Pelodiscus sinensis: one gene and its partners. Each later gene encodes a partner of the first gene's protein in a complex. Links are inferred from orthologs where the notes say so. Each region holds a gene or a part of one and is shown in the gene's direction. Other genes may lie near its edges.

Region 1 (7,204 bases):
GGACGGGGGCGGCGGACCGCGGCGCATCTGGGCGTCCCGCCGCTCCCGTCCTCCGGGGCGAGAAAAGCCCCATTCGTAACTGCGGATCCGACATAAGTCGGATCCGCGTAACTCGGGGACTGCCTGTATATGTAAGATCATATGTCTGCCTTTCCAACCAGGACACATGTAATTACAGCTTTACAGCTTATGATGCCAACTCCTCTAAGGTATTTATTATAAAAAAAGACGGTATGTGTGTTCACAATAGATGTCCTTTGATTATTAACCAATTCTATGTTATTCCAAATGTTAACGAAACTAATTTCTGTTTATGCTTTGTGTTCACATGAAAAGGATGTGACATTAATTTTAGTTCAAGAACTTGGGAAATGCAAGCTTAATTTTGGCATATCAATTCTATCAACATCTGGACCCTGTTCATTTAGTAATGAACCTAAGTATTCTGGAGCAACTCCTCAGAGACCTGGAAAGCAAACTAATCCAGTTGTGAAAACAAGACCAAGTGTTAGAGGCTATTAATATTATCAATCAAGTTTTGGATAGAGTATAAAAATCAGCTGTCCTTTGCAAATCCCTGTCTCAAAAGGAATGACCCAGCCTACTGTCAAAATTTGAACTAGTGTAATGAAGAGCAATACAAACATGCTGTGTTTCTTACCTCAAAAGGAATAATTAAATGTGTTTGAACTCAATTAGTTTTCTTAATTTAGTAGATACATACAAAGAAACTTGGTTATTTCAGAAAAGCTATCTGGACGTTCACACACATCATTTTTGCCAGCTTCAGATAGCTAAGCAAGTGACCCAAATACCAAGAATTTTATTTCATGGCCATCATTTCTCAATCCATTTTAATCTACTTTAAGGATCACTGTTGTAGCATTATTTACCTCCTCCTCACTTGGAATTGAGTAAATTAGGTAGCTGCCCCCAAAACCCTCTGGTTTGAGAAATGAGACTGACAATAGGTTTCCCACGTGGCAGTGGAGAAGCCACAATAGACCATAGTTTATTTTATATGTAATAACACTAATAAATAGCAAAGCTAGTAAAAAGTTGTTCATTTATTACACAGAAAATTGCTTGGGGGAAGATGCCAGAAAAGAACATAAACTGAGCACATGTGGCTGAAAAAGGTGGGAGCTGATTGGGGTGAGCAGAGCAGGAAGCAGATTATTGTGGTGAAGGAAGGAGGCTGAGTACAGATGCATCTTTCTTTTATGCAGCTGCTAATTATAAACATTTGACATAAGATTTCTGGCCCAAGCGGCTGTTTCCCTCTGCTGGTTAACCAACCCATTTTTCTTCAAATTGGCTTCATTTTCTTTGCTGTGTGAGGACTTAAATCATGCCAAGTTTGAAAAGTTACATTCAGACAGTGAGTTTAAGATATTTTAATAGATAATAATTGCTTCAGTAACAAATGACATATTTTCAACCATACCTCGATACCAGCTAAACTCAAACTTTAAAAAAAAAAGCACAGTTCAGTTGAAGGCAATTTTAGACATTTTTTTACCAAGAGGAGAGGACTCTTTTAGCATTTGAAAAGCAGAAGAAACTGCAAATTTCTCATTTTTAACTAAACTATAGTGCTCGGTATTCCCAAGAGAGAGACTGTGATATCCTCTTCGGGGGGGGGGGGGGGGGGGGGGGTCTCAAACTTCAAATCTGAAGGCCATCCCCTGCTGGAGCAACTGCACAATCTGACCCTGAAATCCTGGTGTGGGTTATATGTTACTGTTCCTCAAGCCCCACCCTTCCCATCATCACGCTGCCCTCTCCCCCTATAGCATTCTATTCCCCAAGCACAGCTTCAGGGCTCACTGGGGATGGGGGTGGGGAGTCTGGCCTGGAAGCAGCAGTCAACCCTTCTCTTCCCACCCAAGGCAGCAGGAGTGCACTCTGTCTCTCAGCACTTGGTGAGTACACTCACTTGCTCCACTGTGCTCCATGGCTCCAGCCACGGCAGAAAGCATGGGGAGGGAGGGGGGCAGACTGCTGCTGCTGCTACACCACATCAGACCATCCAAATGATCCCTGAAATCACCTTGAGAGATGGGGTACCATGGGTGGAAGCAAGGCAGGAGGAGCAGGGCTTAGGGAATGGAACAGGCAGCTTCCCTTCCTTCCACCAAGACTCCTGGGTTGGATTATGCAATTGCTGTGGCTGCGGATGGTCTGCAGGCCAGGAGTTTGAACCCTTGCTCTTCAGTAAGGGTATGTCTACACGTCATTCCTCTCTTTTGAGAGAAATGTAAATGCAGACACCCGAAATTGCAAATGAAGCGAGGATTTAAATATCTCGCACTTCATTTGCATAATCACATTATGGTGCTATTACAGAATAGCGCTATTTCAAGAGAAAAACGGGGTTATTTCAAAATAAAACCCTTCCCTCGAAATAACCCTTACTCCAAAAAATGAGGAGTAAGGGTTATTTAGAGAGAAGGGTTTTATCTTGAAATAACCCCGTTTTTTCTCTTGAAATAGTGCTATTCCACAATAGCGCCATAACACGATTATACAAATGAAGCATGGGATATTTAAATCCCTGCTTCATTTGCAATTTCGGGTGTCTGCATTTACATTCCTTTCTCTTGAGAAGAATGAAGTGTAGACATACCCTAACTGTGGTTGTTTGAGCTGTGTTGTCCAGATCAGTTTTTGCTTCTGGTTTGTGTGCACCTGACAAGCAGCAATCCAGGTTCCTTTTGGGCAAGAAGCTCACCTGAGCTCATGTCTTTGCACCCCATCTGCCCTCTTCCACACCCAAGGTCAGAGTGGGCCCAGCATGGCTGCAACAGAAATAAGGGCACAATGGTGGCAGGAAAGCGAAGGAAGCAAAGTTCAGGGACTGTGAACCACAGTTAGGCTGTGTCTAGACTGGTAAGTTTTTCTGCAAAAGCAGCTGCTTTTGCAGAAAAACTTGCCAGCTGTCTACACTGGCCGCTTGAATTTCCGCAAGAACACAGACTTCCTACTGTCTGAAATCAGTGCTTCTCGCAGAAATACTATGCTGCTCCCGTTCGGGCAAAAAACCCTTTTGTGCAAAAGGGCCAGTGTAGATAGCTCAGATTTGTTTTGCACAAAAAAGCCCCAATCGCAAAAATGGCGATCGGGGCATTTTTGCGGAAAAGCGCGTCTAGATTGGCACGGATGCTTTTCCGCAAAAAGTGCTTTTGCAGAAAAGCATCCATGCAAATCTAGACGCTCTTTTCCGCAAATGCTTTTAACGGAAAACTTTTCCGTTAAAAGCATTTGCGGAAAATCATTCCAGTCTAGACGCAGCCTTACTGTTTAGGGTTGCCATCTTTTTAATAGCTAGTAATCGGGCCTCCAAGTCCCCACCTATACTCTGCCTTTTCTCCCCAAGGTCCATCCTTGTTCACCGCTCTTCCCCCTCATGCTCTCTGGATCATCTAGATCAGTGGGTGGGCAAAATATGTCCTGTATGCTGTATACATCAGGCCTGCCATGTGCAATGGCCCAGTGGGAGCCTCCGGCTAGCTCCATATCTGCCACACACCCCCAAGCTGCTCAATGCAGCTGACTGCAGAGGCCACGTGCTGTCTGCATGCTGCACACTCACAGGGCTTCAAGTGCTGCACCCACCCTATTGCAGCACCGATTGTTTGGAACAGATCAGTTGGAACTACCTGCACCATACAGTGAAGGGAGTATGCAGAGAGCACATGGCTTGCAGGGGTGCAGTAGGTAGGGAGCATGCTTGAGGATCCTGCTCAGCTGCTGGCCAGGAGGGGCCCCAGCTGAGCAGGGTTAATGACCCATGCCTCCCCCTGGCCCGCGGGAACTGAATTTTTTGTGTCTACTCAGTACATCTGACCAGACCCTGCCAGGTCTCCTTTGTGAGCTGCCTTTCCTGCAAAACCGGGCACCAGGCAACTCTCACCGGCATTGGACAGAGAACCCGAAAGCCAGCTGTATGCAGGGCGCGAGCGCAGGGGGCCCCCTCTGGCCAGTCACCCCTTTGCCAACGTCAGCCCCGGCACCCGCTGCGTAGGACCGGAGCCAGGCTCGTCGTCAGAAGCTCCACCCCTCATCGCACTGGAGCCCTCTGATTGGCTACCCATCCCACTTGCCCCTCCCCGTTTGGGGGTAGACTAGCCCCTGAGAGGTGCGGCGGCCAGAGCCGGCTCCTCGCCTGTGAGGAGTGCAGGACGCTCTTCAGGAAGGGGGACGGGGTCTCTCCCTCCTCCCCTGCTGGGAGCGAGAGGGAACCGCGGCCGCTGCTGGGACTTCTCGCTCCCTTTTAAAAAAGTTTACGAGTTTTGACCCTCGTCCTCCCCCACGGCAGGGAGCTCGCTTCTCAGGCTCGCTTTCCCCAGCCAACTGGGGCACTCCCGCGGCGTGTTCCTGTTGATAAACTCTTGAATGAGCGACTTCTCTCCCTTTTGACCTACAACCGTTGAAATTCAAAAATTGCGCAGCGTTCTCCCCGCTAACAGACTTTTTTTAAACACTCGGCCATGTGACGTCACACAGACGCCGCGTGGGCTGGGGGAGGTGGCTTGCCCCATTCCTTCCCCATTTTTCATCCGGGTTATCTACCCTTCTTCTCAAGTACTCCAGCCTTCTTCCCGCAGGCTTGAACCCCAGCTGTCGTGCGCAGGCGCACTGTGTACCAACCCCCCCCCCTCCTCCTTCCAGCGAGCAAGACTGGAGTGGGAGTGGAGGGCTCGCGCTCCCCCGCGCTGTCTCCGGCTCGCGTGAGGTGTTGTCTGGCGCGCGCGCGCCCGCGTTGCTGGTGGGGGAAGACAGGCGGCGCCTTGGGAGCCAGGGCTGCGGCAGCATCACTGGGCTGACGAGCGAGGGCAGCAGCGGATCCTTGCTCTCCTGGACCGTTGGCTCAACTGACGCCCGGAGAGTAACGGCTCGGAGCCTTGTGTGTGCTGCGGGGGCCCCCTTACCCCGGCGCGCGCCTGCGGCGTGAGCTCGGTCACCTGCGCGGGGAGTTTCCGAGGGGGGACGCTTAGCGACCTACGGCCCCGAGATGGGCTGCACGCTGAGCGCGGAGGACAAGGCGGCGGTGGAGCGGAGTAAGATGATCGACCGGAACCTGCGGGAGGATGGCGAGAAGGCGGCCAGGGAAGTCAAGCTGCTCCTCCTAGGTAAGGGACGGAGGGGGCCGCTGCGCTTCCCGGCCCGTGCCCCCGGCGCGCTGCTCTGCCTGAGCCGTAGTCTGTCCGCTGCCCGGCCCGGGATCCTGCCTCGCCTGCAACTCGCCGCTACAGGCTTGGCCCGGTTCGGGCAGGGTACTGCTCCTGCGGGGGCGGGCCGCACCTGTAGGTATTGCCCCGTTCGACGATCACTCGGGAGCCGGAGCGTGCGTGTTCTCGTGGCTCCATCTCCCGGATAAGTTCTCGGGAGTGGGGATAGGAAGGGCAGCGGCGCACTTGGCCTCTGCTGGCTTAGAGGAAGAATTGATGTCAGCTGAAATGATCAGTGTAGGCAGCACCCTGAGGCTGGATCATTTTTACTTGAACATTTAAGCCCTCTAGAGCTGCGCTTTCATTTTAGCTCGCCTTTTGAAACAATGAACGTTAAAGGAGCACGACACGGTATACTGCTTTAACTCTCCAAGTGCCCTGCTTCCACGAGGAACACCGATATTTCCCCCCCCGTACTTTAAATATCTACTTTAAAATGGCATTTGGTGACTTTTTTTTAAATCTGCTTTTGAGTGAATCAGTATCTGCTTATCCGCGACATTCAAACGGTGTGGCAATGGTTTGTTTATTTGGCATATTTTTAACAGAATTGTGAGGGGAGAGAATGAGGCGTGGCTGTGGAAATCAGAAGGTTTAAGACAGGGGTGTTTTGTATCAGGGGCTGCTGACCCACAGAAAATGGTCCAACAAGAACAAAAAAACCCAAACCAAATCCCCTCACTGATGAGGACCCTGACTGAGAAGCAGAAAAGCACTCCCCACATTCTCCTCCTGCACCAGAGCCTAGAGGAGGCCGGTCTAATAGATTTTGTGTGCTCCAGCTCTATGGGGGGGTAGAGAGGGGGAACAGTGGGAGGACTGGAGTGCCTGCATGAACTCCCCAATTCTGGGAGAGACCCATGCCTTGGGCTGGATCAAAAAAAGCCTAGGACGGCATCTGGCCCCCCGAGCCTTAAATTCTCCACCCCTGGTCTAAGAGATTTCAGAATATTGGAAGTGAACATTTTAAACTCTTCACTAAACAAACGTGACATCCTTAGTTATAACAGGAAGATACTTTTACAATAATCCACAAATGACGGAAGTGAGATTTGTATTACACTGTTATAAAAAGGTATCTTGTATATTTTAGAAGTACAAACTGAACAGGAATATATTAACCCACATATACAAAGAGCTGTCTGCATGGCTTTTCTGCCATTTAGGAGCTGTACTAGTAATTAATAGTTTTCAACACAAAAAAACTAAACAATTTTGATGTTTCCCAGGAAATGTTGACTTTGCCAGAATATTACTCTGAAATATGTTTTGCACAAGAAACACTTATTCTCTTTCCTGTTCTAGAAATCTATTGCATCGTTCTTTCCTGTATAGATATAGAGGTGAAACAAGCTTTGTGTGGAGAAAAACAAATGTTGTCCTACACTGATTCATTTTTATGAGAGTTTTTTCCTCAGTGTCAGGCATATTTGGTTAGTGCAGTTCTTCCTCTGCCGTTACTTTTTACCTCATGCAACAATCATGTGAGGTCAATGTTGTAGACATTCTAGTGTTTCCATTTCTGAAGGTGAGAGAAAGTGATCATTTCATTTTTATGGTAGTGCCTAGAAACTCCAACCAAAATAATCTTTCACTGTTTTTTGTGAAATACTTAATTTTTATAGTTATGCACAGACTTTTGCATGGGATGTATAGAAAGAAGCACAATTTAAATACCGCTAAACAACTGTTCCTCCTTAAACGTTTCACAGAATTATTTTGTAATGTTAGAAAATACATATTCTTTACATTTTTATGCAGTTCCAATGTATATAGCTAAGCTGTTTCTACCAATACATTTTGAGAGTAGCACAATTCAAATATTGAAAACTTCCTTCAGTTAAGATGGACTGTGAAAAACAGAGTTAATTTTTACTGGGGCTGGATCCTCAAGTTTTTAGGCAGGGAGAACCTATTGAGAATAATTGGACTAAGATTTTACATCATCAATGATTGCATGAACAGGCCCA
Region 2 (7,023 bases), on another chromosome or scaffold:
AGTTGGTCTGGCTAACTTGTATCTGAGGAAAAGTCTCAGAGGGGTAGGCGTGTTAGTTTGCAACTTAAAAAACACTGAGTAGTCCTGTGGCATCTTAGGGTGTGTCTAAACTAGAGGGTTTTTTTCGACAAAAGTTGGCTTTGGTCGAAAAAAACTATACCTGTGTCTACACTATCGCCGTGTTCTGGTGACAGTAAGTGGACAGAACGTGGCAGTTTTGTCAATGGCGGTAACCTCATTCTATGAGGAATAACACCTTTTTTCAAAAGTCATCTATTGCATGAAAACAGGGCTTTTTCAAAAGAGAGCGTCTACACTCTCTTTTGAAAAAGCAAGACACTTTTTTGAAAAATGTTCTTGTTGTCTAGACGCTCTTTTTCGACAGAGGCTTTTTCTAAAGATATTGTTGAAAAAGCCTCTGTCGAAAAAGGCATGCAGTGTAGACATAGCCTTAGAGAGAGAGATAGATAGATAGATAGATAGATAGATAGATAGATAGATAGATAGATAGATAGATAGATAGATAAAATCATGAGCTCTCATGGGCAAAACCCACTTCTTTGTATCTGAGAGTTTTCAAAGAGCGGAGGGCACTGGACCATTAATGCTGATTTTCAATGAATCTTGAAAGACTGGGGCAGCTCCAGGAGACTAGAAGGAAGCTGATGTTGAGCAAATATTTAAAATATTTAAACGGGATGAATCAGGAAATTATTGGCCTGTCGGCTTCATTTCAGTCCTGGGCAAATTAATGGAACAGCTGCTACAGTGTTTGATTAATAAAAATTAAAGGAGGATTATATAATTAATGCCAATCAATGTGGGTTTATGGAGAATACATCCTGTCGGACTAACCTGATATATTTTTGGGTTGATGAGGGTAGTAGTGGAGCTTTAATAGATTCAGAGTTGCATGATGTTTTGATTAAAAAAAAAACCTAGAAAGGTAAAAAATGAATGTGCCACTAATTAAATGGGTTAAAATTTGGCCAACGGACAGCTCTTGAAATGTAAATGGAATCATCATTGAATGGGTGTGGCTCTCATGGGGTCCTGTGCAGATCACTTCTTGACCCTATGACATTTCATTATTTTTAGCAGTGACCCGGAAGGAAATCAACAACCATCATTAGTAAAGCTTGCGGATGACGCAAATATTAATCATCGTTAGTCCTTTGGGCTCCTAATGGAGCATCGGGCCTCCACTGTCATTCTTCATCTCTTGCGATCCTTAGCGATAGTCTTGATTTGATCCCATGTTAAGCCAGCTGCTTTTACTTCGTCCAGGCAGCTTTGTCGCCATGTTCGTTTGGACGTCCCCTTTTTCCTCTTTCCCTTTGGATTCCATTCTAATGCTTGTCCCACGATACATTCCTCGCAGTCCATTCCACAGGATGTGGCCTGCCCATCACCAATTTCTCTTCTTAATCTGGACGCAAAGATTGGGGGCTTGGTAAATAATGAAGAGGGCAATTCATACAGATGCAGAACTGTCTGGATCACTCGTGCAAGCAAGCAGCATGCCTGTATATTAGGCCAGGTGAAAAGTAACACAGTTCAGTTGCCGGATGCACATATAGGTGAGAAGGCTATTTTAGGAAATAGTTCTTTGGAAAAGGATGTAAGGGGTCAGAGTGATGATAGTGGTCACAAGGGTGGTGTGGGGCTGTGCCGAAGGCAGGATGTGGTGATTACTCTTTTATTGTCGCAGGTGGTAGGAAAAGAAGACGATGTCGAATTGGAGGGTTTCCTCCCTCAGCTATGTTTTCAATCAAACTGCTCTAATTAATAGCACTAGCCCCGCTAGGGCCACACCTAGCTCAATTCAGCATGGCCAGGAAATGAATGTAGCAAATAACAAACAAGTATGGGTTTTACAGTCTCCGTCATGTACCCAACATGTGTCCACACTGCATGCCTTCAGGCACACCCTTCCGTCACCACCCTGGTTGGCTCACCACCTGTCCTATGTGTGCACACACACGCTTATCCATCTCTACCTGCTGCATGCCGCATCCGGCCACATAAAATAACATGAGATGAGGAGATGAGGTCATGCTTAGCAGGCAAAGAGGAGCGAGGGTTTGCCCAGACTTAGTTTTACCTATGGCTGGACAGGTGAGTGAAACCTGGATCTATGCTTGGGCTGGGGGGGAACTGTTCTATGGCTGAAATTGCTGCTTGTTCTGCAGACAGCTGGCCATGGGCATTTCTGCTGAATTGGATGCTTGTGGTGCTTACTTATTAGCTAATTCCTAGCATGCGCCCCTTGCCCTCGGCTTTCTCGTTGCCCATGCTCTAGGAGCACATGGGTGTAAGTGAATGGCATGTGCCTTGACTTCTTCTGTGTGCTCATTGCAAGTCAGAACTGAGTCTTTGACTAAGGCTTATTCTCTGCATCAGTAGCCTCGGCTATGGCACCACCATCTACAAAGGCCTCCTATCCCGATTGATGTCAATGGATTAGATATAACTGAGGTTCCCTAAGGATCTGCTCCCTTGGCTTTGGTGGACATTGGACCTAGCCCCTAAAGAACCTCAATCCCAGCCCAATGCAGCCAGATTAATGCCTATTCACTAGGCAGTTCTGCTCGGCATTACACCGGAGCGACACCACTGATTTCAGTGTGTCTACACACAGGATGAAGGTGGCGCAGTATCTGTATTTCCTAAGCAGAAGTGTCTTGGCTTTTTCAGTGTATGTTTTCACCAGTTGTCTTACCACGGAAGAGGCTGGGTTGATTTCACTTCCACAGCACTGTTGCTGCTGTCAGGAACAATGTCAGCTCAGAGACAATGGATGCTTAAGAAAGTGACTGTTGGATGTGTTGCCTTCCAATGATTATATCCCGGTCCGTTGTGTTTATCATAACATGGCTTGTTATTTACATTCGGAAGAGGAAAGCACTCCCCAGAGAAGCTAGCAATATAGACCATTACAAAGCTGGCAGTTAAAGGCCAGACATGTTACTGGGAGCAGACACCATTAGAAAGGACCTTGAAATATCAGTATCACTCAGGCTGGATTTCTGTGTTTTTACAAGACACTCTTGGGACCTGGATAAAAGTTTGGGATCAACAATAGTTTTCATCCCACCATTCCACTGTGGGTTATATTTGCCATCCCTAGGGTACCATGTGTCTATCTGTAGGTCTAAATGAAATGCAAATTTAAGGGTCATAGAAACGCTTTTCCCTAACAAACTCACATGCTTTCAGCTTTGTTTAGTTATTCTTACCAACATATCACTCTGTCTCTCCTAGTTCCCTGCTGCCTTCTTCTGTTACTTCTTTCCTTTTTCTTTCCTCTAGCCATGAACTCATTCTTTGCCAGTTTCATGGCAAGGAGACCTTTGTATCTGTCATCATATTATGTAGATGCAGAGACTAAGGCCAGATCTACACTAGACCTTGAAGATTGTGTTAAGGTATGCAATCCTGGCTACATAAAACATGTAGCTGAAGTTGTCTTACCTTAAGACGAGCTTGGCACCATCTTCACAGAGGGAAGCTGAGGGGAGCAAACACTCCTGTTGGCTTCTCTTACTCTTCGCAACTGCCAGGAGTACCAGCATCAACTGAAGCTACCCTCAGTGTTTAATTTAGCGGGTCTTAACTAGACCCACTAAATCGAACACCAGAAGATCGATTCCCAGTGCGGCAAGTGGAGATGTGGCCTAAGAACGTGAAGAACCGACTAAAACCATGTGTTGCTCTCTGAACATGATTAGGGTTGAACTGATTCTGATGTCTAGTGCTAATAATTTCCACAGCCTAGGCTCTTCCACTGAGAAGGCCTTGCCTCTGCATTATGACAGGACCACCCTAGTCACAGCAGTGTCCCCTGGTGCATAGCTGTCTCAGAAGGTCATCACAAAGATAACTAGGCACCCCGCCTCTTCAGACTCTTAGTTGATGGTTAACACAGCAGGAGCTGAAAATGCATTCAAAGCCAAGTGGGAGGCTGAAATCAAACAGAATATCCTCATGACTTCCTCTTAACTACTTCACTTCCTAAGAAGAGTAGAAGTTGCTTATCTACAGTCAGATGTGGTTGACTGACATGGGTAATTCTTAAAATAAAAAAAAAAACCTGCTTGCAGCTCTGAAATAGAGTAACTGAAAAGTGACAGCGCTAGACCAAGTGAAGAAGGCAGGTGGATTTTTGGCCAGATCCCGACAAGATTTCTGACCCTCCCGAAGCACATTTCCCGAGTGCGTGAAGGATACTGACGGGGCTACAGAGAAGTCCTGGCACTGACCAAACGGATTGCACATCATGGAGATCTGGGTGCAATTTACTCCTGTGCGATGCTAAGGAGGGGTAACAGCCAGCTAGCTGCCTCATTCCATGGGGACATAAAGTTCTGCACAGGAAGTTATTGTAAAGGAAGTCACTGGGAGAGCTGAGGTTTGGTTTCATTTGGAGGGAAATCCCGCTGGGGCTTGTTCCTCTTGGTTTCTTGAGCCAGCAAAGGAGACAGCTTGCTCTTCGCCATGACAAACAGCAGCGTGTCTCACAGCAGCCTGACTGCTGTTTACATCACCGTTGAGTGCATTATTGCGCTATCCGCCACCGTGGGCAATATCCTGGTGATCTGGGTGGTGAAGCTGAACCCAGCGTTTCAGACCAACACCTTCTACTTCATCGTCTCGCTGGCGCTGGCTGATATAGCTGTGGGGATCCTCGTCATGCCGCTGGCCATTGTGGTGAGCCTGGGAGTGGTCATCCACTTCTATTCCTGCCTCTTCATGTGCTGCCTGATGGTGGTTTTCACGAATGCCTCCATCCTGTCTCTCCTGGCTATTGCCATCGACAGGTACCTGCGAGTGAAGCTGCCCACCAGGTGAGTCACTCAGGTGATCGTACTAAATGGGGGTTCAATTAATGCTTCTCCTGGTCCCTGCACCCCAGCTCAGACCTGCCCTTCAATACCTAGGTTCTACTCCGTCCTGCCTCAGGGTTGGGAGGTGGAATAGGCAACCTCTTGCAAGCCCTTCTGGCCCGACATTTCGATGATTCTGCGATTACAGATGCTCTTTGCTTCTGCCCCCCCCCCCCATCTATTTGAGGTGGCTTCAGATTGGGCAAGTTGCTCAAGCAGCAAACTCGCTTTGAACATCTGTTCCCAAAAGAGAAAGAGAATCTCTTTGTAAAAGCAGTTTAAAAGCAGATCAGTGGGGGAGAGAGACTGTGTCGTAGCTCAGTGCTAGCCCAGTAGCAAGCACAATGGAATCCTGGTACACATCTGAGGCCCCTAGATGCTACCTCAATATATATATAAAATAGCAATCATTTCAGAATTGCCTATAGGAATCAGACTGCTGCTGGAAAATCAGGGGCACCTGGTATTGGCCATTGTCGGAAGACTGGGCTACATGGACCTCTGATCTGACCCAGTCTGGCTGTTCTTATATTCATGGTTTCATCTGTTAGTCATTTTGTTGGGTGTGTAGCCTGATTTTTATATTATCTGTGTCTTTATTTATTTTGGGGGTGGTCACGCAAACTCAACCAGCAATGCCAGCCCAGGGTCAAAATGAAACAGGGGCATAAAGTGAACAGCAACATCTAATAATAGTCATTTAGACAAATCTGCCTTTTTTTCTATAACTTACATGGGCCAAGCGCATGCATGAAAAATACCAAGATGGCACAAAGGCAGACAGTACTGAGTTCTGGTGGAGTAACTGGGCTTACACATTTATTTGAATTGTGAGGTCAGCGGTAAGATGTGAGTGAACGCTCATAAAATACAAACCATCCCCTATCCTACAACAACATATTGGTGGGTAAAGGTGCAAAAGGGCCACAGAAAGACTGTGTTAGTCTAAGCAAAAGGCCTACCTATATAATTCAAGCACCATGTTAAGATTATGCACGGTTAACAAGAGAAGCGTGGGACCCATTCTCAAATCAAAACTGGTGGGCCAGAAATTCGGTGTAACTGATGGACAAAATAATGAGGGGATGGGGCTATTCCAGCCATGAGATCTTTAAAAGAAGAGATATCAGGGAGCAATCTGGCTGACTAAACAATAAAAGAAGGGTTAGAATGAGCTTCCTTATGATGACTGCGTGCGCTACCCTGTGGTCCCCAGACATCCTTCCTCCTCCTCCTTACAGATGTGATGACCAGATTGGGCCGAGAGAGAGGGATCCAGTAATGTCTTTATTTCCATTGTCACTGACTAAACCCCAAATGTCATCATGGATGTGGGACTGTGTCACCCCTTCCAACTCTCCAAGATGCCCGTCTCCTTCCACACTATATTTCTGCTCTTTCCCAGGTTTTTTCTTTTGTAATATGAGTCAAGCCTATTTTGCCACACTGAGACAAAGTTTCCAGGTCTCAGAGTGGCTGGTCAGACTATGTGCTGGGCCTGTGTTTTTCCAGCAGTATGACTGTCAGTGAGGGTATGTCTAGACTACACTGTTTTTTTCGAAAAAACTGCCCTTTTTTCGAAAAAAAACGTCACCTATCCACACTGCAATCATGTTTTTTTCAAAATTAAATCGAAAGAACATAGCGGTTTTCCTGACATTGGTAAATCTCAAATGATGAGGAAGAACACCTTTTCCAAAAGAGCTCTTTCGAAAAAAAGGTGCATGTGGATGCAGAACTGGGACATTTTTCAAAAGAAGAACAATCGAAAAAAGCACAGGTGCCCTGGTGGCCATTCTGTGAAAAGCAATCAGGGCTTTTGAGAGCATGTCCATGCAGTCTGGATGCTCTCTTTTGAAAAATCAGATCACTTTTTCGATCTGGTTTTGAGATGTGGACGCTCCTTTTGAAAGAAGCTTGCAGTCTAAACGTACCCTGAGAGTCAGCACTAGAGACAGAAGCTGTGTTTTCTATCTTTGGCATTCTTCTCTTTCCCGCTTTGTCTAAGCTTGTCCTCTCGGAAGCAGGATGGATCTTTAACACCAACAGCATCCATGACAGTTCCAGCCCATCCTAGCTCACCTCTTCTATTTTCCTGAAAGGACCGTCTAAATACTGTCAAACCAGGAAATGGTGG
Region 3 (7,692 bases), on another chromosome or scaffold:
AAACAAATGCCAGGCTGCCTACATTGTCTTTAGTTCCATTTTAAGGTGTATAGATGATCACATTCTTTATTCTAAAAATCATGGGTTTGGCTGTGTAATTTCTAATGTAGTGCTCTAGATATCTAGGATGTTGCAGCTATGGCCTGCTCTTCATTTAATATTAATGGCTGTGGGGATTTAAAATTGATAAAAGCTTTTACCATTCATTTATCTTCCTCTCTCTCTGTTTTCTCCCTCTTCCACACTATATTTGAGTTGAGGAGAGCCCTGCTGCTTGTCAGGCATTGCTCAGTGTTGCTGCCAAAGCAGTGGGATTTGTTTGATGCATCTCTTGAAGGCAAGTGCTGTGAGTGGTCCTTCTTTGCAGCTTGACCATGATGTTATGGCAATTGGTAAACAGCCAAGATGCTGAGAGGTAGATAGATCAAGAGGAAAAAAAGGGGGCAGTAGAAGATGGTGAAATTAGAGCAATGGAAGGAAGGTGAGGCGGGGAAGGGCAGATTTCCATGGCCACCTTCTCTGGGGTCCCAATTCAGCAGTCCATTGTTATTCAGCAGCATGAGCTGAAGTACTTTGCTGACTAGGAACAGGCCTAGTCACGAGTTTAGATGCTTTGCTGAATTGGTATCCATGAGCTCATATGACCTTTAAGCAGCAGTCTGTGGACTTCTGACAACATAAATCTTGCTTTCTGTTGTGAAAAATCAAATCTGGTCTCTCATTTCAGATGCTCCTAAGTTCATGCAGAACTCAGTCTTTTTGGTTCTTTGTCACAAAGGTTTAAAAATGAAGAAACTGATCTGTAAAGTAGAAAGAGGTGCTGCTTATTTGTGTTATTAAATATATGTCGGTTATAAAATTCATACTAGCAGAAGGAAAATGTACTTGAAGCAAAAATAAAATCTGAACCCTGAAGTGGGGGGGCTAGATTGGTCTTATCTCCAACTGAATGATGGCAATACCTTTGAGATAGCATAAGCTACAAAATATAAATTGAGTTGGATTAATATTTATATTGTATAATATAATTTTTGTATGTAACATCATAAATTGAAAGCTACAAGATATTTTACTAGGAATGACTGATTTATTTCGGTATTTGTGGAAATTTAAATGAGTGATTATGGGTTAAGTTTGCATATATCAGTCTCTCTTCTTTCACCTAAATGAAATGCCAGACATTAGCCTCACTGGGGGAAAAGGTTGACAGATATAAATTGGAATTTAAGTTTCTTAATTCAGATTTGGTATATTCTCTATAGGCTTGTAAATTTGAAAACATCATTTGTTACATAGTTTGGTTCTGATAAATAAGAAATTGAGTTTAATGCATCAGAGACATTTATAGTTCACATGAATGTACAAGAAGACTAAGGTTTAAATCATAATAGTATTGCTAGAGATGGTGTAATAAAAATAGATAAACAGTCAAATGTAGCCAGTTAAGCTATTATGCTGATATGATTTGGGAACATCTAAAATGTAATAACTAGAGATGGTTTCCCCCTTTAGATGATTATAATGAAAATTAACAAACAAAAATAAAATGTCAATGGGCCAATAGATATTAAATATATTTCCTGAGGAATCTCTGGGGATTGTGTAACTCTACAATTCCAGGTAAGCAAAAAATCTAGCCTTTGAGGCTATACCTTCAGGAGGGGCTACAGTGTGATAGGCCCATTGGCTGATTAATGCAATGTAGAAGTTGTGCCTGGATTCAAACTTTGAGATTGGGGTGATGTGTATGACCAGCATGCTGTGACAACTGATGTAACAGATTAGAAGTTGCACTGGTGAATGAAAAGCAAGTTTAATGAGGTAAGGGTACCAAATCTATCTCAGTGAAGTCAGTGCAATTAGAAAGGCATCCCCAGAGCTAGACTGAACAGGTTTCATAACCCCTACATGTTGAAAAGTGGTAACTTCATATCTCAGCAAATGTTTGTGAGATGGGTCCATGAAAAGGGTGTGGAAGGGAGAAATGAAGGCAAAAAGGAGGAATACATTTATATTATTACTTCCAAAGCCCATTTTCTGGATGTTATTCTCTCCCACACAAGCTGGAAAAGGGAAAGACAGTATCCAAGGTGGCAAAGATGGAGAAGATAGTACAGAAGATGGATTGGCATTTAGATAACGTGGGTGACTGAGATAAAGTAGCTGTGGTGTTTGATTGGCTTGTTTATTGAATATCTTGGTCTCTTGGCTGGTGATTCAGGGTTGCCAGTGGAAATTCAAGACATGTATTGGAAAGAACCATGGAATGTGTGAGACTTGCTACATTCTCTTTTAGTTGCAGGTATATAAATTGTGAGGGATCAAAGTGTAACCCACAAGTCTTTCAAGATGTGAAGAAACTCACCAGTCGATTAAAAGAACAACTGTGGCCATCCATAGGGAGGTCCTCAGCAATGTTGTGCAATTCCCTAGAGAAACTGGATATCTGCTTCCACAATGGAAATCACATCATGATTATGGTGGAAATGGACTTGGCTCCGATATCAGCTATATGCAAGGAAGACTGCAATAATCTTCTCTCTAAGAGTTGCCCTTTGTTTATGATGTTCTTAAATTGTTTTGTGCTGTTTGTCTCATTCATTTACTATTTCCACAACCAGGGAATTCAGTGACACTTCCAAGTACTTTGCTAAAATGCAATATTTTAGTTGGCACATTTACTGGTGGTGGATTGTACAGTTGGAGTCTGCCAGATGGTCTTAGCAGGCTCTAATAAAGCCAGATTCACAAGGAGGGCTGCAGGCAGAAGCTTGAAGCATGCAATATGTCCAGAAGTTTATTATGAAAGCCTTTGACCTTCACTATTGGGGTTTGAAACACATAGCCACTATGTACTTCATCAGCTCCTGAAATAGTTTAGTTATTTTCCATGGAAAGTGGTTGAGGGATTAGAACCCCATACAGCAATGAGGAGATATTCATGTGGTTGCCTCTTGCCTCCTGTTCTTCCAAAAATGTCCTCTGCTGACTCTAGTTTGTGGGGTGTGAGTAAGGGCTCGGGGAATAGGTCTGCCTATTTGACCTGCAAGAGTGACACAGAGACCTTAGGAATTGTTGGCATTACAGGCCCAGGATTCCCAATAAGACCACTGGGGAGAGCCATGCACCATTGATAACACGAGGGAGACAGAGGATGACATCATCTGTGCTTTGATGTCTCTCAATTGGTGGAAGAATGGTGTCTTGCAGAAAATACCATTGAACTGACATCCACAAATCAGAAAACTCAGCAACTTTTTTTGGGGGAGGGTATGATAACTGATTTCAGTAGCTACCCCCATTCTAGCTCTCTTCCACTGCTGATACTCTTCTCCCCAAAAGTGAAGTTAAATTTAGTGATGTGTCAAGCTGGAACAGGACAGGGGAAATGTGGGTGGGAGTACAGAGAGAAGGCTGCATGGAGAAACTTGGGAGGAAAACAAACTGGAGTTACAGAAAGAGGCATGAGAAGAGGAGGCAGAGGGGAAGGGCAACAGCACAGAGAAGGGGCTGACGAGCTAGGGAGGGTAGTTTTGGAATATCAAGGACAGGTGTAAGTGTACATCTAAGGATTCCTAAATGTGAGCCCCACATTGCACAGCACACGTGTATACACAGGCAGTGAGCATACACACTTGCTTACAGGTTGGATTACATATACAGGCAGTCCCCGAGTTACGTGGATCCGACTTACGTAGGTCCCACTGCCTGCGTCCTCCGGGGCAAGAAAAGCTGCGGAGCACGCGGGCAGCAGGACAGCCCAGACGCGCCGCGGCTGTCCCGCTGCCGGTGTCCTCCGAGGCTTTGCTCCCCGTCTCCCTGGTCTGCTGGGGGGGCTCCCCTCCAGCAAACCAGGGAGACGTGGAGCAGCTTTTCTCGCCCTGGAGGACATGGGTGGCGGAGGATGTGGGCAAAGCCTCAGAGGACGCCTGCAGCGGGACAGCCGCGGCGCGTCTGGGCTGTCCTGCTGCCCGCGTGCTCCGCAGCTTTGCTCCGCGTCTCCCTGGTCTGCTGGGGGGGGGGCGCAGCTAGTGCACCTCCCCCCCAGCAGACCAGGCTTTTCTCGCGGAGACACCTGGGGTAGAACAGCTGGGGCGCTGCCAGGTTGGTCCCACAGCGCCGCTCCTCGGCGCTACTGGACCAACCCGGCAGCACCCCAGCTGCTCTGCCCCAGGTGTCCCCAAGTCAGCCGCTGCTGAAACTGACCAGCGGCTGACTACAGGAAGCCTGAGGCAGAGTTGCTCTGCCCCGGGCTTCCTGGAATCAGCCTCTGATCAGTTTCAGCAGCAGCTGACTTGGGGACACCTGGGGTAGAGCAGCTGGGGTGCTGCTGGGTTGGTCCCTGCAGCGCTGAGGTGCGGCGCTGCGGGGACCTACCCGGCAGCGCCCCAACTGCTCTGTCTCAGGCGTCCAAATTCATCCTCTGTTGAAACTGATCAGTGGCTGATTCCAGGAAGCCCAGGGCAGAGCAACTCTGCCTCGGGCTTCCTGTACTCAGCCGCTGGTCAGTTTCAGCAGCAGCTGAATCTGGATGCCAGTTCCGACTTACATACAAATTCAACTTAAGAACAAACCTACAGTCCCTATCTTGTACGTAACCCGGGGACTGCCTGTACTCTCACATTTGGAAGCAAAGTGCCCACTCCTCCTTCTCCCTCTAAGGATTTGCTGTGTATTGCAGAGTCTGTGCCAGAATTATGCATTTGTAAGCATGTGCTGTGCCGGCTCCTCTGTCACAGCAGACTCTGATGCCGAGTCCTCATTCCCTCTCCCAGAGCTGCTGTGTGTGCAGCTTTGCTGAGAAGTGCTGCCAAGGTAGTGGGAGAAGTTGTCAAAGGTTCCCTCATCATTGGCTCTGTAACTTTTCATTTCCTTTTCTCCATTTCTCCTCACACTGGGCTTGCCATTCCACAGCACAAGTGTAAATGGATGGACTTCAGAGAAGCTAGAAGTACTGACCAGGTTTGATCCCAGACCCAGGCTAAAACCAGTGATGTCCGAGACAAAACTGGATAATGAGTCCCCTTCTTGTGGGAACTGGTCATCTGCTCCAGAATGGAATGATACTCGGGAGCCTTTGTCAATCCCCTCTGCTGACTATGATGATGAGGAATTTCTGCGATACCTTTGGAGAGAATATTTGCATCCAAAAGAATATGAATGGGTCCTGATTGCAGGATATATTGTTGTTTTCATTGTGGCTCTCATTGGAAACATCCTAGGTGAGTAGCACTCTGCATTTCTCCTCTGAAGAGTTGTAATATAACCTGTTTGCACGGATTTTCAGGCAGCCTATACTATGAATAAAAGGTAGGTGAGTTAACAGTGGCATCTGGGAACATTGTTTCTTGTATCCGAGAGTGAAAGTTAGATTTAGACAAACAGGGGACATGAATGTGTTTGTATCTGGCAGTTTATTTTGAAATTAAAATGGCTAACTCTTCATGTCATTTGTCATGCTTGGTATTTAAGAGGCTGGGAGCATCATGTTTTGAGAGTGTTAAAAGCAGCTCTTATCACTGTTTTCATTTAGAGAGCTACATTAAGACAGTCGGCTTTCTAGCTGTTTACTAACTAACAATTAGTCATGGTTGTAATTAGAATCCCCAAGAAACAAGCTCATCCAAACTAGGAAGGTTGTGTCAATGAAATGTTTGTTCTCTAATCTCTGTCCAGCTGGCAGTAGTGCTGAAATTCTCCAGCCCCATTCAGATCTTTGCAGACATATGTTTTCCTTCATGTGGTGCTGACAGCTGCTCTTGACAGCACTTCTGTGTCTGGTCATAATGCTGCTTTTCATTCAGAAATTCTCAAACAAGTTAGCAGAGTTTAACTTAGACATTTCAATGCAATGGCTATTTATACTCACCTGACAGGAGCACTCCAGGCACTGACAAATGTGGAAAGCAGATTAAATCAAGAACTTGTTCTTATATCAGTTGTTTGAATAGATTTCTATGCTAGGGTGAATGCTAGGGTTCAAGGATATAACTATGTAGAATGAAGCACTCCCAGCTTTCAGCCAGGGGGAGAAAGCAGACAAAAATCTCAATCTCTCTCTCTCTCTCTCTCTCTCTCTCTTTTCCTACTCTCACCCAAATTTCATTCATCTGTGAAGGAGGAGGAGGAAGGGAGGTAGTGCAGCAGGAAACTAAGAACACTGGCTGCTGCTTCATGCAGGGTTGCTCAGAATAATCTATTGGGAAAAAGTGCGGGGGACTTTGTTTGGGGGGACATGGAGGAGGGAACCTGGGGAATTTGAGGGAGGTGAACTGGTGAGTAAGGAAGGCAGAGAAAAGAGGAGGAAGGAATAGGAAGATGGAGGGATTTGAAAGTGAAGCAGAGCAAAGGGGAAGGTTGGAGGTTCTTTACCAGGTAGACTAAGAGAAAGAATGTCCAAGTGAGTGATGGAGGCAAGGAAGACATGAGGCAGGGAATGGAGAAAAGCAATATCATGAGTGAAAGTTAAAGTGAAACCTTAGGGCAGAAAGTCATGGGAATGTTAAGAGTCAAGATAGGGGAAAATGGGGATGGAGGAGTAACTGAGAATTTCGAAGTGAAACAACTGGGATATATTTGAGGTAGAGGGAGGGAGGAATGGTGCAGGGCCAGAGTGTGGAGGGAGCAGAAGAAAGAACAGGCAGGAATCTGGAGTATGGCAACAGTGAGAATTGTTGAAAAGCAAAGGCAGAAAGAGGATGAGGGGGGAAGGAAGGATGGGGGAAGAGGAGCTTGTGTATAAGAAACAGATTTAAATACAGAGAAGAGTGACTGGGGGAGATGGAAGATGGCTTTGGAATAAGGAGAAGAAGCTAGGGTGTTTGGGGAAGCTGGGAGTGACTGAAGAGAGAAAATGTGAAGGGATTTATCAGAAGCCAGTATCCTTAGAAGCTAAAAGTAGCTCTCGGGTAAAATAATGGAATAATTTAGGGAAATAACATATATAACTCTTTGGAATCTAACGTAAGCAGAGATTTTAAAAAAAACACTCCAGCAGTTATGTCCAAGGCTTCATTTCTAGGACAAATAAATCATGCCACACAACTAGTGGAGAATTAAGGCTACATGTAGGGACTGTGCTTAAAGTTCTTGAAACTACAGGGTACTGGACTCACGGGGGGATTAAAATGCCCAGATATCTTTTGGGTTCACTCACAACCAAACTTGCATCATCAGTGAGATGCTGAGTTACACAGGAAAGAGTTTTATAACCCAAGAAGTAAAAAATGCAGCCACAAGAGAAGTCATCTTGGACTAACTTGCTACCAGTTAGGAGGAAGTGATTAAAAATATGAGGCAAATAAAGAAACGATATGGTGTGTTTGTGAGCTACTTGAATTCAACAGTGTAATGAAGGGGTTAATAAAAGTATTAAAATATCCATTGATCAGAGTCAAATGGGAGGAATTATTCAAGTCATAATGGTAGAAAAAGACTGAACAATCTGAACATACCTCAATGAAGGCAGAACTTCTCGGGAAGTTAGTGGGGGAAGAAGAGACAAGAGGACTGGCAGGAACAAGACATGGCTACTATAATGAGAATGGAAAAGGGAGGAAGTCAACCAAACAAGACTGTATGGGCTGGCTGAAAAAATTGTGCCAGTTATGTGAAATAAGAATCTGAAAGGTGTTGGTCCTGTAACACACGTATTAGATGTAGTGTGACAAGGGAGAAAATTTCCGTATTGAC

Evidence for each region.
Region 2: the proteins of GNAI1 (region 1) and ADORA3 are in contact, whole or in part, in a cryo-EM structure (PDB 9EBH), measured with the Homo sapiens proteins. The link is inferred for Pelodiscus sinensis from reciprocal best matches to the Homo sapiens genes GNAI1 and ADORA3. Residues at the interface, in NP_002060.4 of Homo sapiens: Arg24, Glu28, Arg32, Asp193, Leu194, Phe336, Thr340, Ile343, Ile344, Asn347, Leu348, Asp350, Cys351, Gly352, Leu353, Phe354; in NP_000668.1 of Homo sapiens: Gln44, Thr47, Arg108, Arg111, Val112, Thr115, Val116, Tyr118, Lys119, Arg120, His124, Ile204, Thr228, Ser231, Leu232, Lys285, Ile286, Lys288.
Region 3: the proteins of GNAI1 (region 1) and HCRTR2 are in contact, whole or in part, in a cryo-EM structure (PDB 7SQO), measured with the Homo sapiens proteins. The link is inferred for Pelodiscus sinensis from reciprocal best matches to the Homo sapiens genes GNAI1 and HCRTR2. Residues at the interface, in NP_002060.4 of Homo sapiens: Ala31, Arg32, Leu194, Phe336, Thr340, Asp341, Ile343, Ile344, Asn347, Leu348, Lys349, Asp350, Cys351, Gly352, Leu353, Phe354; in NP_001371201.1 of Homo sapiens: Thr89, Arg152, Ala155, Ile156, Pro159, Leu160, Met161, Phe162, Lys249, Gln254, Lys301, Thr302, Met305, Leu306, Ser368, Lys370.

The regions. Positions count from the first base shown.
Region 1 is NC_134711.1:20,806,044-20,813,247, reverse strand, and holds the start of GNAI1 (guanine nucleotide-binding protein G(i) subunit alpha-1), read left to right. Parts: upstream 1-4,186; 5' UTR 4,187-5,017; coding exon 5,018-5,135; intron 5,136-7,204. UniProt on the Homo sapiens protein: Guanine nucleotide-binding proteins (G proteins) function as transducers downstream of G protein-coupled receptors (GPCRs) in numerous signaling cascades.
Region 2 is NC_134737.1:3,127,263-3,134,285, forward strand, and holds the start of ADORA3 (adenosine receptor A3), read left to right. Parts: upstream 1-4,002; 5' UTR 4,003-4,497; coding exon 4,498-4,847; intron 4,848-7,023.
Region 3 is NC_134713.1:42,994,071-43,001,762, forward strand, and holds the start of HCRTR2 (orexin receptor type 2), read left to right. Parts: upstream 1-4,671; 5' UTR 4,672-4,993; coding exon 4,994-5,222; intron 5,223-7,692. UniProt on the Homo sapiens protein: Nonselective, high-affinity receptor for both orexin-A and orexin-B neuropeptides. Triggers an increase in cytoplasmic Ca(2+) levels in response to orexin-A binding.